3 separate regions of the Mus musculus genome follow, and regions 1 and 3 are each reported to be linked to region 2. Evidence: microRNA targets listed by miRTarBase, many of them from high-throughput screens and not tested one by one. Region 2 holds a microRNA gene; each other region holds the end of a gene's coding sequence. Distances are between the middles of the regions.

Region 1 (5,072 bases), not on the chromosome of region 2:
TTTCCTAAATTTTTCATTTTCCTATTCATTTTTATGTATATGGGTGTTTTGCTAGCACCCAAGAAAGTGCCCAAAAAGCAGAAAAGGACCTTGGGTCCCTGGAACTAGTTACAGTCAAGCAGCATCTGGATGCTGGGAAGTGAACTGGGGTTCTCTGCATGTAAACAGCCAGTGTTTAATCACTGAAACTCCTCACTTTCAATTTGGTTGGCTCAAGAAAATACACAGCTGGTATTCTCAGGATAAACACATTACCTGGCTTTAAAGTAAATCTCATCATATTCTATGAAAAACAGAAACTCAGATTTTGCTAGCTACTTAAGAATGCCAGTACAAAATGTACTTGAATTAGCACATGGCTGGCCTCTAAATATGGGTCAATGTCCAGTTTAGACATGCAATGAAAGAGAAACAACTCTTCATAATCCTAACAAGTACTCAACCATAACTCCTGTTAAAACTACAAATAAGGGGCGACTTAAGGGCACTGGTCACTCTTCCAGGGGACCCAAGTTCAATTCCCAGCACCCACATAGCAGCTCACAACTGTTTGTAACATGGTGGGTCTGACTCCTCACACACATAAAGACCAAATACTAATGCACATAAAAAAATTTACAAATGACTTCAATGATTGTAGATGTATAGGAATTTGCAGGAAAAGAATTTAAATGACAAAATGGGGGCTTCATAAACTGGAAACCTAGAAGAGAAAGGAAACACTTGAAGGGCTAGAGAGATGACTCAGCTGTTAAGAGTCCAGAAAACACAAGTTTGATTCACAGTACCCACATGGTGGTTCACAAGAACTTGAAGGCGGCTGGTGAGATGGCTCAGTAGTTCAGAGCACTGACTGCTCTTTCAGAGGTCATGAGTTCAATCCCCAGTAATCACATGGTGGCTCTCAATAATCTGTAATGGGATTCTATGCCCTCTTCTGGTGTGTCTGAAGACAGCTACAGTGTACTCATATACATAAAATAAAAATCTTTAAAAAAAAAAAAAAGGTTGGAAGATCCACCCTCTTCTGGCCTCCTGTGGCATTGCATGCACATGGAGAAATACAGACACTATACCCACACACACAAATTAAAAAAAAACTAAAGACACCTGAAAGCTTCACTAAAGGGCCTAACAGAAGAATCAGTGAACTAGAATCCAAAACAATAGAATGTATCCAAATTAATATTCAAAGAGAAAAAAACTAGTTTCAATGCCAGTATCTGGTTATCTAAGAGTCCAGTAGAGAATAAAACTGAAAGGCCGTATTTGAAAAATAATGGGTGAGAATTCAGTTAGAACCTAAGAGTACTGTGGTTGTACATACTTGCAGTCTCAGCACTTCGAGTTGAAGCAAATTAATTTCAAAGACAATCAGGGATACACAATAAAACCTTATTCAAAATAAGTACTTCCCTTCCCTCCCCAATAAACCCTTGTTTTTTTTTTGTTTCTCTGTATAGCTCTGGCTGTCCTGGAACTTACTCTATAGACCCAGCTGGCCTTGAACTCAGAAATCCACCTGCCTGTCTCCCAAGTGCTGGGATTAAAGGCAGTGTCACCACTGCCCAGCCAGAATTTTTTTCAAAGGGTTAAAAAATGGGCCTCAGCCTATCATCCTTCTGATAGTAGTGTGTTTCTATAATGGAGCCTGACATGGTGGCACAGGCCTTTAATGCAACACTCAAGAGGCAGACATCTTGAGGTCAGCCTAGTCTACCTATTGAGTTCCATGATGGCCACAGAGCTAAAGACCCTGTCTCAAAAAAAAAAAAAAAAAAAAGACGGTGGTCTTTAAGATTTACCAGCGAGAACCTGATGACCAGGACCCCTGAAACCCAGATAAGGCCACTGAAATGGCATGCATTGCTAATCCCATTCGTATTGCCAGAAGTACTTGAAAGCTTGTAGTGAGTAAGAAAATAAGAGACCCTGCTTCAAAAGGTAGAAATATCCCACAAGCACACACAGGTTAAGTGGCCTATAAGTCCTCACTGTTGAGTATTTCTTGGAATCAGTTCCATCCTCTCCATCACTTATCATTTAGTAGGCACTTAATGGAGGACAGCAACCAAAACTTGTTTTACTACTAGAACCTTGAGAGCCCTTTTATTCTATGGCAAAGGGTTTTACCACTAACTGAATGAAATTAGCCTGTTATAGATGGTAATCCTAAGGCTATAGATCCAGCTTAGAAGTAAAGAGTACATGCTCCTCTTCCATTTCCCCTTCCTTTCTACCTCAGTATAGGGTCAAGACCTACACCCTTAGCATCTGCCTATGTTCCTTAAGAGTTGAAAAGGTTCAGGCAGATTGAACTGAAAACTACATTAGGTAACTCCTATCACTAGCATCCGTAGGAAAAAAGCCACACTGAAGGGGTAGTGTATAGTCAAAAGCAGGTGATAAATGGTCAGGAGTGAATCTTTTTGTTTTTTGAGGCAGGGTTTCTCTGTGTAGCCCTGGCTGTCCTAGAACTCACTCTGTAGACCTAGGCTGGCCTCGAACTCACTCAGAAAATCACTTGCCTCTGCCTCCCAAGTGCTGGGACTAAAGGCGTGCGCCACCACGCCCAGCTGAAGTGAATCTTTCAAATGAGAAAGCTTTGTTGCTCTTTAAAAGACCTCTACAAGCTACTCTACCACCAGAATAAGAGCTTTGTGTTTATCTATTAGGTGAAGGCAGATTAACTGCCTTCCCTCCACCCTTTCTTCAGTTCTCATGTTGCCACCTGCTGGAAGAATGAGAAAAGAAAGCAAACAACCATTTCCAGAAAGGTTTGCTGCTTTTCTAAAATGTCTGCCTCGTTTAGGGAGAGCTATTCAACTGTAAATCTTCTGATGATCCTATAGGTTAACTATGTCCTCAATCCACAAAAAAATGATGTCTGCTAGCACCAGAGTTGAACCTTTCCTTTGCTATTGTAGTCTTGGGGGTCTTCTGTGTAGCACTGGCTATTCTGGAATTCCTTAGCCTCAAATTGGTCTGCCTTCTAGGATTAATGACAGCTGAGTGCCTTCAGCTACATGCCATTAATCTTTAACAAGGAGGTTAACATAATCAAGGGCTCCACTCCCCACAGCAAAAGAACCCACCAAACTGTTCCCTGCTACACAAATCTAATGCCCACGCCATCCTCACTTTTAGACAGGACTGCGACTGCAATGGTCATACCACATACTCAAGCCACCAGACAGGTGCTAAGCGCAACCCTACAGAGGGTCTTTGGTTGAGAATAGCTGACTGGTCTTTCTTGAAAATCAGTTTGTTGGGAGTGGGACTTGGAAAAACACCTACAGGAAAGTTTCTATTAAGGTTATCTAGGCACCCATGCCTTATACAAAACAAACAAAAAACAAAAAAACCAAACATCCTTGATAGATCACTGAAAAATTCATTAAGTACACAGGCCAAGGGCCACTGTATTATCCCTAGTTAAACTGGACCTCTGACAACCTTTAAGTCAAAAAGGCCACTGTTCCCTCTGTTGGAACTTACAAACCTTGTTTCCCAAAGCTTCTCTCAAATTTGACAGGTCTTGTTTTTTTTTTCAAGACAAAGTTTCTAAGTATCCCTCACTATCCAGCAACTCAGTTCTGCAGACCCAACTGGCATTGAAGTCATAGACTGCTTTAGCCTCCCATGGGATTGGATTACGTCACTCCCAGCTTGCTGCTGAGACTTGGTACTCAGTGGCTAAAACTCTGTATTTGGTTGTCTGTGAGGTTTTTTTTTCTTGTTTTTTCAAGACAGGGTTTTTTCTCTAATAAACAGCCCTGGCTGTTCTGGAACTCTCTGTACACCAGATCAAACTCAGATCTACCAGCCTCTCCCTCCCAAGTGCTGGGGTTAAAGGCATGTGCAACCATCCTGGCTATGTGAATTTTTCAACCCAATGGGGTACCATTCCTTGTCCAGGTCATTTCAGATTGCACTGTACTGTTTGTTCTTATTATGCTGGGAATAGAATTACATACCACACAAGCTCTTGTATGGTATTTCCAGCACTGATCCATGTGCTCTATCAACCACTTTTCCAGTACACACCCTTCTAAGATACAAATTAAATCTTCCAGATCAGAATCATGATGAAGCTGTTCCCCACCAATTTCCACATTTGTAGCTGGGAATTCTTGAAAGCAGTAGGAACACAACTGAAATTCCCACTGGGCAGAGTTGGTCTTGCCAAGCTCTTAAGCAACAATCCAAATGTAACCTCTAGGAAGTATTAAGTCTGGCAACAGAGTTTAGGATCTTTACTGTCTTGGAATGTCCTTAGAAGGCTCTGTCATTGAACAGGTAACAGAGTAAAAACCCCAGAGTCCTTTCTTTAAAATGAAGAGGGAAAGAATGGGATGGAAGGAACTATTCAAACTTCGTCTTCTTTCCTTGTGGCTTGAAGTCTCCCCCTCCTCCTCTGCCGCCTCGGAAGCCTCCTCTACCTATAGGAAGGAAAAACATCAAAGGGTGATACAATTAGGACTGACCTTCCCATTTAAGGTGGTTGGTTAGGACACAGGTTTAGGAATCCGTTTCCAGTTCCTTTCCCTTCCTTACCTCCAAAGCCTCCCCGGCCTCTTCCTCCAAATCCACCTCTTCCACCTCTGCCTCCACCTCTGCCTCCGAAACCTCCTCTGCCTCCACCTCGACCACCAAAGCCACCTTCACCCTTAGGTTTGGCCCAGTCCAAGGTAACTTTGTTTCCGTCAATTTCTCCATCTTCCATGGCCTCCTTGGCAGCTTTGGCATCTTCCTCACTATTAAAGTCTACAAAACCAAACCTAAAACAGAAAAGAAAAACAAAAAAACCTCACCCATTAAGTAAACACATTTTAAAGTAACACAATAAGTACCAAGTCACCCAAGTAGAGTGACCAAAGTACTCTTCAGGTCGAGAAAATCGCCAGTATCTCATAATGTCTCACACAACAGCCAAATATACTTCTGCAAAAACAGAAGATAAGTGCCAGTTCTGTGAATTCTCTCTTCTTCTCGTGCGAATCCATAATCTATCACTGATGGACAGAAAGGAGCTCAATGAGAAGATACTGCAGACCCAAGTTCTCCATGCA
Region 2 (5,072 bases):
TTGCCTCCTTGGTACTTTATTTGCATTTAACATCTCTTGATAGATCTGTTTCTTTAAGGACTGTTTCCAAATGCTGCCCCCACCCCCACCCCCCAGTTGCTGCTTTCTCCTCACCATGTAAGAAGCATGGGAAGCCTTGAGGCTTCCCAGTCAAGAGCATGCACTGGCTAGCATCTCTGCTCACCTGGAACTCCTGTGATCTTTCATCCAGGCTTATCAGCTCCTGTGACCTCCGAGACTGCCTCCCTTGGGTGGCCACTCCTCACTGTACCATTCAGTATCAGGACGGGCTTGACCACCTAAAAGATAACCAGACGGGCAAGATGACTCAGTTGCCCAGGAAGAAGGTGTGAGATTGCTCACTGGGGTGATTGCAGGCAGTCAAGGCTCAAGGCAACAGAGGCTGCTAGAAAGGGAAGGGGCAGAGCAGTGCATCAGGGTCAAGAGCTGCCAAGGCACGGGGTGGTACTGCTGCATGAGGAGACCTTTTCAGAGACAACCACAAGTGTCTTGTCATTGAGAAGGCCGGAGATAATATGACACTTCAGGAAGTTTACTTGAAACCAGGCCCTGTCTTTGCCTCTAGCCCGAGACAGGCAAATCAGACAAACTTAGAGTAAACACGCATCCTCAGAAGAAGAGCAAAGGGAACAGTACAAGGTGTGTGGTGTATACTTTTGAAATAGATAGGGTGGGGTGAGAAGATGAACAGTGAAGATCACAGCAGGTAAAGTGGGCCCCAAATGGGACAGCTAAGCCCTGCTTGGGTCCCTGTCTCTGCTCATTGAACACAGGGGACCTAAAGGGAGTTCTGTGGTTCCTGTGCGCCATCTTACTGTCCCCCTCCCAGACAATGGCTGGTCTTGATTTTTAAGACAGGCAAGAGCTACATTCAGTATTTGGCTTGGGAGACTAGGTCTTCACTGCAGCTTTCTAACTATGTCACACATGACATCCCGCCTCGCTCCCTCTGAAAAACAGACCGGGTTAGAGGCTGCCAGCTTACACAGGCCCTTCAGGCTTGGCATCAGATGCAAGTGTCTAGAAGTTTCCATCAAGCACCTGATTCACTGGGTAAGGGGTTATGCATTAGAAGTTTAATAACTAAAGTGATTACCCCTCCACCCTTGGCTTCCTCCCTCAACAATGGCACCCTGGTTTCAGAGGCAAAAACAGACTTCCACTGTCCCTGAGCTGATGCTGTCACCCCACACAGGAGAAGAAAAATGCACAAGAAGCCACAGCTTTTCCCTTTTTGAGGAGAAAAGGAGACTAATCTTTTCACCTGCCCTCCTCAGAATGAGAGACCCTTCTTCACAGACCCCCCCCCCCCCCAGTAGGACCCAAAGTGAGCAGCCTCCGCTCTAGGCTGAAGCTGCCTGGCAGCAACAGCAGCATCAGCAGCGGCAGCAGCGGCAGCTTTGAGACAGCAACAGTTGTCTGGCTGAGGCGAGGTGAGGACTCGCAAGCTGCACGACGCCTTCGGCAGGGTGCTTTAGGGCCCTGGAACTCCGGTCCCAAGTCTAGTCTGGGTGGGAGAGATGAGGGCTCTGGGGGCTCAGGAACCCCAAGGAGCCTGTGTTCAGGTTATTCGAGTTATCGTCTCTAAGGTCACCTCGATCTCAAATCTGGTGAATGGTCGGGCTTTTGGAGAGGGAAGGGCTTCCTGACTAGGGAAAGGAGGTGGGATACAGTAAGAAAAAGACAGAAGAGTAGGTGAAGGGACACAGTGCGAAGCTATTTTTAATCTAACGTGGCTTTTCTGCCTCTCCCTCTGCAGAGCTATCGCTCCACAGACGGCCCCAGGTGAGAGGCAGGAAGAAAATCCCCCCACAGCTTTTGCTCCCTCTCCATAGCATGTTCAAATCTTTGAGACCCTTTTACTCTTTCAGAAAATACATTCGGAGGAAAAAAATATCCTTTATCAGGGGAGAAGGACCCTGATTTAGCTGTGGAGTCTGGAGTTCTCGCATTCTGTGCCTTCTTACGTACTGAGCTAGCACCGGCTGCCTCTGTCCAGCATTCTCAGCATCTGCTAGCCTTTCTTTTCTTTCAGGAGGGGGTAGAGAGAGTAGAGCTTAGGTGGTTAACTATGGGACCCCCAAAATGAGTCAGAGAGTTTGTTGAAAGCAGAAAGGTTGGGATGCGGGGGGAAATTCAGGCCCTCCCCGAAAATGGGAAGCTTTGCAGCCCCGGGGTGTTGGGCTATCACATCCCTAGATACATCCTCTAACTGCTTTTCACCCCCATAGACATTTGCGTGTGTCTGTGTGTCCTTCTGGCCCAGTCCCTAAGGGCAAGGGTGTCTAGCAGTGTTCTTAGCTAGCGAAGGGCACGGGGCACAAAACGTGTTGAAGGCCTGATTTGTGCCACTTGTAACCGAAGTGGTCACGACTGCAAGGAGTGGAGGGGGAGGAGGGGGACCCACGGGCTCTCCCCTTTGCAGCTTGCCTCCCTTCCCAGGTCTAGGAGCCTCGAGTGGCCAGCATGGGGCTGCTGCCTCTGCCACTGCTAAACAACTGCAGCTCGCAGAAGCTCCTTCCCCGCGGGGTTTTCCCTAGTTTCCGCCTGTTTCATCCTCTCCTGCGCTACTTAGTTTTGAAAAAGAGGAGATGGGTGGGTACTGGAGCCTGCAACACGCCTGAAATTAGGTTGGAAGCAGGTTCAGGAAGAAGGCTCCGGGGAGCGGGCGGTGCCTGGGTGTTTTTCCCTCTTTTTCGGAGCTACCGGATTCACGGAGATTCATCTCACCTCCTCTAGATTCCGCTCATCCTAACCGAGGATGGTTAGGGCCTACCGCCCCTCCCTCAAGGGCTTCCCCTCCCCCATATTAGATTCCAATCCTTAGGGTCAAAAAAAAAATGACCGTAAAATTTCCTAAACTGATTCATATTCTAGGTACTGACTTGGCCCTATGGCCATGCCCCCCCCCCTTATTGTGAGTGGGGATATTTGGGGTGTGGGGTGTGGGGGAACGACACAACTTCTGTAAACTTTTATTACATTTTAGCTTCTTCTCACTTCTTCGAAAACACACGCACGCCACCCGCTCCAATTCCCCCTGTGGTACAAAGTCGACTAAAAAGTTGGGGGCGGGGGACATGTCTCGGGAAAGCGAGTGATCAAAGCCTCGCGGAGCGCGGAAAGGACGGGGAGGAAAGAGCTGATTCTTCCGTGGAAAACGGGGAGAAAAACTGGGGAAGTCTCGGATGGAGCCGCTTCGGGAAGGTGCTGGCTTCGGCGGTCGCTGGTAGCTGCAGTCACGTCGCCGAGCGCGCCCTCCGCGAATGCTTTTTGGGGTAAGGGCTTCCGGCTATTGAGTTATGTACAGCAAGCCCAGACCGCAAAAAGATTCGCGAAAGGCAGTCTACCCGCTTCTTCGGTCCGCCGCCACCGCCGCCGCCGTCGCCGCCGCCTTTAGCCCAGCATGTCTCCGAACCCCGAAGCCGAGGAGACTGGATCTCCCCGGCGCGCTCCACCGCGGCTCATCCTCCCCACCCTGCGCGCCGCTCTCCCCTCCTCGCGTCCCCAAACCCATCCCTCTCTCTATCTCCAGATCCCCCGACTCAGCCTTGCACAACCTCGAAGAGGTAGTGGAGAGCGATAAGGGTAGCTCGAAGGGGGACCCCGGATCCCAGAGCCCTGCCTCCACCCCTCTCGCCCTAGCACTCCAAGCCTCCGATCCTATCTAGTCTATCACCCAATTCCCCCATCAGGGTTCTGACAGCCCTGACTGCAAGGTCGTGGATCTCTGAGCAGGTACGATCCAGATTTCCCCCGAATCCCCTCCTATCCTCCCTAGTCCCCCAGCAGAGGTTCCAGCCGTGACTACAGGCGCTGCGTAAAGAGAAAAACTCCCCCAGAGCACTAAATAAATACAGACAAGGCCGCCAGCTCATTGGTGTGGACTAAAATCGTCACCCACCAATCAGAAGAGAGCTCACATTTCTTTTTTTTTTTTTTTTCCAGAAGGGGGAGGGAGAAAAATATTTCCATTTCTAATTATTCAACAAAACCTAGACTAGAACACATTAAAATATTGTTGTTCCAAAAGCTGTCCATGACTCCCTCCCATTCTAGCCCAGGTGAGGGGGTGGCAGTGTATATTGGGAAAGAGGGATTCAAGAGAGCGACCTCTTCCATCGGGACCTAAGCCAGAAGAACCAGACGGAAAATGACTGGCAAAGATGAACATAAAACAAGCTCAAATCCCACTCTAGTTGGCCTATTTCTAGAAAATTAGACCTTTTCGAGTCCCCCTACCCCACTCTGCCCCCCCAAAGTTCTGAATGTTCACTAAGAAGGGTGAAGTTTCTCCCTCCCCCAGAGCCCCCAACCTGTCCAGATCATGGTGTCTAATGGCCCATTTGCCTCAGGTGCCCTTCCTTGTTGCCCCCCCCTTCTGCAAAATATTGAGGGAACAAGAAAGGGTGAGCTGGGCATTGACTGTCACAGTGACAGGAGATTCCAGCATCTGCAGGAGGGAGGGGAATAGAGAGCTAGAGAGGAAGGAGGGGGCAAAGTCTCTCCTCTCCCCCCTCCTCCCTGCCCTTTAAGTCCCTCCCCCATTCCATCTAGCCTAACTTAAGGGGGATGCCCTCTTCTTTATGTGCAGGCCCACCCAAGTCCCAGTGCCCTCTTGCCTAGCCCCAGGGATGCCAAAGGGTGTGATTAAACAAACGCCTATCTCCCTTCCAGTAGGGGGTGAAAAAAAAAAAAAACTTAAGTCAGGGTGGTTACTACAAGCATCACAAGAACTTGGGGGCAAAAGTTGGGTTTTGTTTTGGCTTTTTCACTTTTTTTTTTTTTTTTTTTTTTTTTTTTTGCCATCCCAGAATGGACCTGCAGGCAGGTACGCGCGCGCGCGTACACACACACACACACACACACACACACACACCCTTGGCTTATCATACCCACAGAATGCATTTCTGGACCTGGAGCCTTAGTCTCCCAAGTTCCTGTCGGCCCACCCACTCCGCCCATTCATCACCCTCCTACAGCTCTGTGACCCACCCACCCTCCTACTGCATCCCCTCCGCTTGGCTCGGTTACGGAAAGACGCAAGCACA
Region 3 (5,072 bases), 50 Mb from region 2:
ACTCACGATGACCAAGCATAGTCTAATCCTTCCTGTGTCTTTGGATGTTATTTAGTGATGTTATTTCTTCCCTAAAGAGCGAGGGAACTTCAGGGTGGGTGTAGCTCAGTGGCAGAGCACTTGCTTAGTGTACCCAGGCCCTCTCTTCTCCAGATCCGATCCCCTAGTGCCCCCCTGCTCCCCAGGAAAAAGAAGAAAGTTAAATTAAGCAGAAAATATCACTTAGAATAAACATAATGCTTTTCCCAGTATTCCTTAGCACTCTTGCTCATTCATTCCTGAAGCTATAGGGAGCAAAAGGCACTTCCTATCTTATGGCATTTATACTCGTGGGCTGCTACTCTGCCATATTCGTTATGATAACCTTTGTCTGTACCCCTGAGCTCTTTGTGACCCAGTTTCAACTCCTAGACAGAAGCCAACATCCTGGTAATTCTACTTAGCACCCTATGAAGATCCTTAAACACAGAATATCTTCAACTTAGTAGAAATTAAATTGTTGTCCATCAGTGTAGTACTCACTTCCTTCATTCCTAAGCACCTGCTAATAGCCTTTTACCCAGGTAAAAGGGCAGGAGAATGGGCTCGTCTTCATGCTGTGTTAATATGCCTCCAAGCCAGGCAGGGAGGTGTATACCTTAGTCCCAGCATTTGGGAGGCAGAGGCAGTTGGATCTCTGAGTTTGAAGCCTGCCTTTTCTACATAGTGAATTCCATGACAGCCAGGATTACATAGTGAGACCCTGTCTTAAAAAGCAAAAACCAAGAGAACCAAGCAAACCAAAATATAAAAGCTTATAGTTAACCATGACCACAAAGTAGGCACTGTTACAGTATGCTCTTCAGTCCTTATCTGTTTCAAAGAATATTTTCTTTCTTTTTTTTCTTCATTTACTATTGCTTTAAATCAGTGGGGATCTGATATTTTAAAACTTGAATTTGAATAGACTTTTTATTTTTATTTTTTAAAGGTTTTTGAGGACTGCCATGAAGGTGGTGAGATTTCGCCGTCTAATTGTATTTACATGACAGAGTGGCTTGAATTTTAATGAGAGCTGTGCACTTTATCTACATTTGGCAAACTGAACTCCATGGAGAACAAACAATTCATGATGGAGTGTAAATTTCTTTGAAAGCATACTTCACAATAATGGATACTGACTTGCTGCTATGAAAACATTTATTTATGAAGACAGAACACAAAGCAGATTGAGTTTAATAAAGTTTAATTGGGAAGTCTCTTCTTCAGTAAGTAAAATACCTTGAAGGTCTGGAAGGCAAGGAAAAGAAGCCAGCAAGCCTATGTTGACCAAGTACTGAGATAAAGGCTGGAACGAGAAGATGTTCACTAGAGTTGCTTCATTGAAAACTCATCGGGGTTATTACCACCATTTGTTTGGTTGTTTTTGGGTTTTGTTGAGAAGAAATTACAAGTGGTGCAGACAGGAACAGCTGATGGCATGTGTGCCATCTTGGGGCCTGGGTAGTCAAGTGGGCATTCCTTTTTCATGCCATCTGTTGCTCTTCACCCCAGGACTCTTTCAGGGGAGTGTGCCTCCATACCGACCTCACTCCCAAATGCTGTTGTACAGGACGTGTTTCCACATCACTGTTATTCCATGCTAAAAGAAATAGTCTCACTGTTCCTTTTTTGTTAAGGCTATCACTTTTCTCTGTATGCCTTAATTGTATTATTTCCTGGGTTTTTTTCCAGATTCTCATTCCATGCCTGTAGTGTGACTCTCTCTACCACTAGTGCCAAATTCAAATTTTACAGTCTAAATTCCAGGACAGCCAGAGCTATATAGGGAGAGACCCAGTCTCACACATACAAATAAAAATAGAACATTGCCCTTCATTCAGTCTCTGAGGGTTGGTAACCAGTATTTAGCTGGTGCCCTTTTCTCTTATTCTTCAAAACACTGGTATGACATGTCTGAGCAGAAAGCCATCACTGTGTACTTTCTCAGTCCTGGCTGTTCGGCCCTGGAAAACATTAATTGGCGTGCTGTTGTACAGAAGGTAGCCTCTGAAGGATCTCAGCTCGTGGATTGTCTCTTTCTAAAGATTTATTTATCTGTAAGTACACTGTAGTTGTCTTCAGACACTCCAGAAGAGGGCGTCTGATTTCATTACAGATGGTTGCAAGCCACCATGTGGTTGCTGGGATTTGAACTTGGGACCTTCAGAAGAGCAGTCAGTGCTCTTAATCCCTGAGCCACCTCACCAGCACTCCCCTCCCCTTTTTGTTTTGAGACAGGGTTTCTCTATGTAGCTCTGACTGTCCTAGAACTCTGTAGACCAAACTCAGGGATCTGCCTGCCTCTACTGCCCAAGGACTATGATTAAAGATGCGATACCCGCACCTGGCTCTTTTTTCCATTTTTATCTCTCTTACATATTTAATTTTCTAGTAAGGTAAGACTAGTGCTTATTTGATAGGTCAGGCAGATCGGACATTGTTACCATGCCGCACCTCACAAGAGGTGGAGGGAAAAAAAACCCTGTGTTTTATATATAATCTAACACTTAAAATAGCTGGTGTCATTGAATGCTTACTCTTATAGAGCTGGCCATAGACTTCATCTGATAAAAGTGAACTAGTGAGTTTGATTTTACTCAGGTAACTAATGATGCTATTCACTTAGAGCACTGTCAGAAGGTGGTAGAACTCAGCTCCACAGAGGATCCCAGTGCAAACCCTTTAAGTTGGTCCATGCTTTTGGCTTATATAAAAAACTTAGTACGATCAAACAACCTTAGACACGAAGTAAGCTGAGTATAGTGGAAAGCCTTTAATCCCAGTACCCAGGAGGCAGAGGCAGGCAGATCTAGGACAGCCAGAGCTACATAAAGAAACCCTATCTTGAGGAACCAAATAACAATAAAAGAGAGAAGTTATCTTCTAGCCAGCCTGGTCTACAGAGTGAGTTCCAGGACAGCCAGGGCTACACAGAAAAACCCTGTCTCGAAAAAAAAGAAAAAAGTTGTTTTGGAAATCTGCTCCGCATTCTGTTTTGTTGTTAGAGATAAGAGCATCACTCCACACTGGCCTGGAATAAACTTGATGGCCCAGGCTGGCATTGAACTCAGTTATTCTGCTTTAGCTTTCCAAGTGCTGGGATTCCAGGCACGCATTTAGCAGCCGGGCCTGGCTTTGCATTGTCTTGATAATTAGATGAGTTTTTAAATCAGCACTCAGTGGTTAGAAATGTTCCTTGCCTCACCAGAATAAAGAGAGCTTAGATATTTTTCCTCAGCATTATTTTTTACTCTGAGTATTTTTGCCTTGTAATGTATTTTTTTACTGTATTAACTGAGAAGGATAGAGAAGTCTGAAAATGTAGCAACTGTTCTGTAAATAAAGTGGGAATAAGCTATCAAAAGAAATTGTGGGCCTCTAAAATCATAATGTCACAAAATCAAATTGCAGATGAAGCCCAGATTCTTCATACTCTCCCACTTAGTACTAGGCCTTTTGTTCACCTGAGCACACATACTACTAATCTGTTGAGGACCCCGTTTAAAAGTGATCCATAAAGAAGGGAGACATGAGGTGATTTAGTGGTTCTTAATGTGGATTCTCACATTAAACTTTGAATTTGGCAATAAATAAGTTTTAAATAAGGGTTTTGGTGGTAATTAAGCAAAGTAGTCATATCAATTCTGTGATGGACAGTGATCGAATACTCCTCGTACGATGAGGCCTCTGGCCCAACCATCAACCCAACAGTTAAGGGGGGAAAAGTAGTTTCAGATTTACTATCTGGTAGGTGAGAGATGAATACAAAATATGCGCCCTCTAGCAGTATGATCCAGTAAGACAGCATCTTGAACAGAATCCTGCCTCTATGTTGCTCCTGCAGGGTTTATAGGTATGTGCCACATCTGGACAAATAGCATTTTCTATCATGATGGAAATAGTCTTTATTTGGTGTTTAGTCCAGTAACCTTCAGCCAGATGGCTGGCCAGCACTTGACACAAATGATTAAGAGCTAAGTTTTTATTTAGTTGCCTGTGCATACTGTTTATATTAGACGGCACAGCTCAACAGAGAGCTCTCTTGCATACTCTCCCCCTGGGAATTATTGAAACTCACACTGAAATGTGTTAGTTTATAATTAAGATTTTTAACGTTAGGAAAAAAAAATAAGTGTTTTCATTGTGTGTGTGTGTGTATGTGTATGTAACAGGCTTTTTAGCGGTGATTCAGTCAAGCCTACAATCCAATTTGAGTCTACTTGAATTTGAAATTAGTAATTATTTACTCTGCTCTTTTGAATTCTTAAATTAACATACAAATGTTTGCTATTTGTTTTCTGCAGGATAAAATATATTCATTTGATATATATAACTTTCTGTTTCTGGTATTATTCATTCCCATGTGAACACTTAGAGTACACCTATATATATGTTTGTCGTCCTATCCTCCAAATATACTTATGTTAAAAGTTAAAGTCATCCCTGACTTTAGAAATCCCCAAATCATTTTAGGCTAACACAACAGCTTTGTACCCCTTCTAGGATAAAAGTGTGGGGGATCACATTTCTGCATCTGTCACGGGTTCTGAGTCATCAAGTTTAAGTACACTAGAGATCTTTGGCACCACAGCAGTCAGAAGATACTAGGAAATAAACATTTTTTATTATATCTTTTTACATTTGGTCAAAGTACTTTATAAACCAGTGGAAATGGAATCATCAAACCATTTTATACATTGAATATATACAATATAAAAAGTAGTATTAAAAAGGGGTTGTTTATGTGAGTGAATATGAGAAGACTCGGCAGTGTTGCTTGAATACTCTCTACAAGAGGCTGAACTCTATAGAATTAACCTGGCATAGTTTATTTTATGTATGTGAGTACACGGTGTCTTCAGACTTAGCAGAAGAGGGCGTCAGATCCCATTACAGAGCCACCATGTCGTTTCTGGGAATTGAAATCTGGTCTTCTAGAAAAAGGTTCTTTTGAGGACACTTAGAACTTAATAACACAGTACAGGTTGCTCCCTTGTCTTCCACCTTTACTATTATGTTCATTTTGGTTGTCTTAGGCTTTTCTTGGATTC

Evidence for each region. Region 2 holds the annotated microRNA mmu-miR-129-2-3p (AAGCCCUUACCCCAAAAAGCAU, at 3,288-3,309, opposite strand). A microRNA usually pairs through its seed, bases 2 to 8, with sites in the 3' UTR of a target mRNA and lowers its output. Matches are read on the target gene's strand: a 7mer-m8 pairs with bases 2 to 8, a 7mer-A1 pairs with bases 2 to 7 and ends in A, and an 8mer does both.
Region 1: miRTarBase lists Ncl as a target of mmu-miR-129-2-3p. Seed matches in the 3' UTR shown: 7mer-A1 at 2,458-2,464 and 7mer-m8 at 2,103-2,109.
Region 3: the mRNA of Polr3f is a reported target of mmu-miR-129-2-3p. Seed matches in the 3' UTR shown: 7mer-A1 at 2,944-2,950.

Annotation. Positions count from the first base shown.
Region 1 is chr1:86,346,255-86,351,326 of GRCm38, forward strand. Ncl (nucleolin) reads right to left here. Exons shown (of 14, transcript NM_010880.3): 13 at 4,558-4,781; 14 at 1-4,442. The coding sequence ends at 4,366. Snora75 (small nucleolar RNA, H/ACA box 75) reads right to left here and starts at 5,031; the gene lies at 4,916-5,031.
Region 2 is chr2:94,238,089-94,243,160 of GRCm38, forward strand. It overlaps Mir129-2 (microRNA 129-2), which reads right to left and starts at 3,365; the gene lies at 3,276-3,365. Mir670hg (a long non-coding RNA gene) reads right to left here. Exons shown (of 8, transcript XR_003953878.1): 4 at 185-299. It overlaps Mir129b (microRNA 129b), which reads left to right and starts at 3,290; the gene lies at 3,290-3,354.
Region 3 is chr2:144,537,642-144,542,713 of GRCm38, forward strand. Polr3f (polymerase (RNA) III (DNA directed) polypeptide F) reads left to right here. Exons shown (of 9, transcript NM_029763.3): 9 at 971-4,138. The coding sequence ends at 1,048. It overlaps Rbbp9 (retinoblastoma binding protein 9, serine hydrolase), which reads right to left. Exons shown (of 5, transcript NM_015754.2): 5 at 4,624-5,072. Among named protein-coding and RNA genes, the nearest start is that of Rbbp9, 11 kb to the right of the region's middle.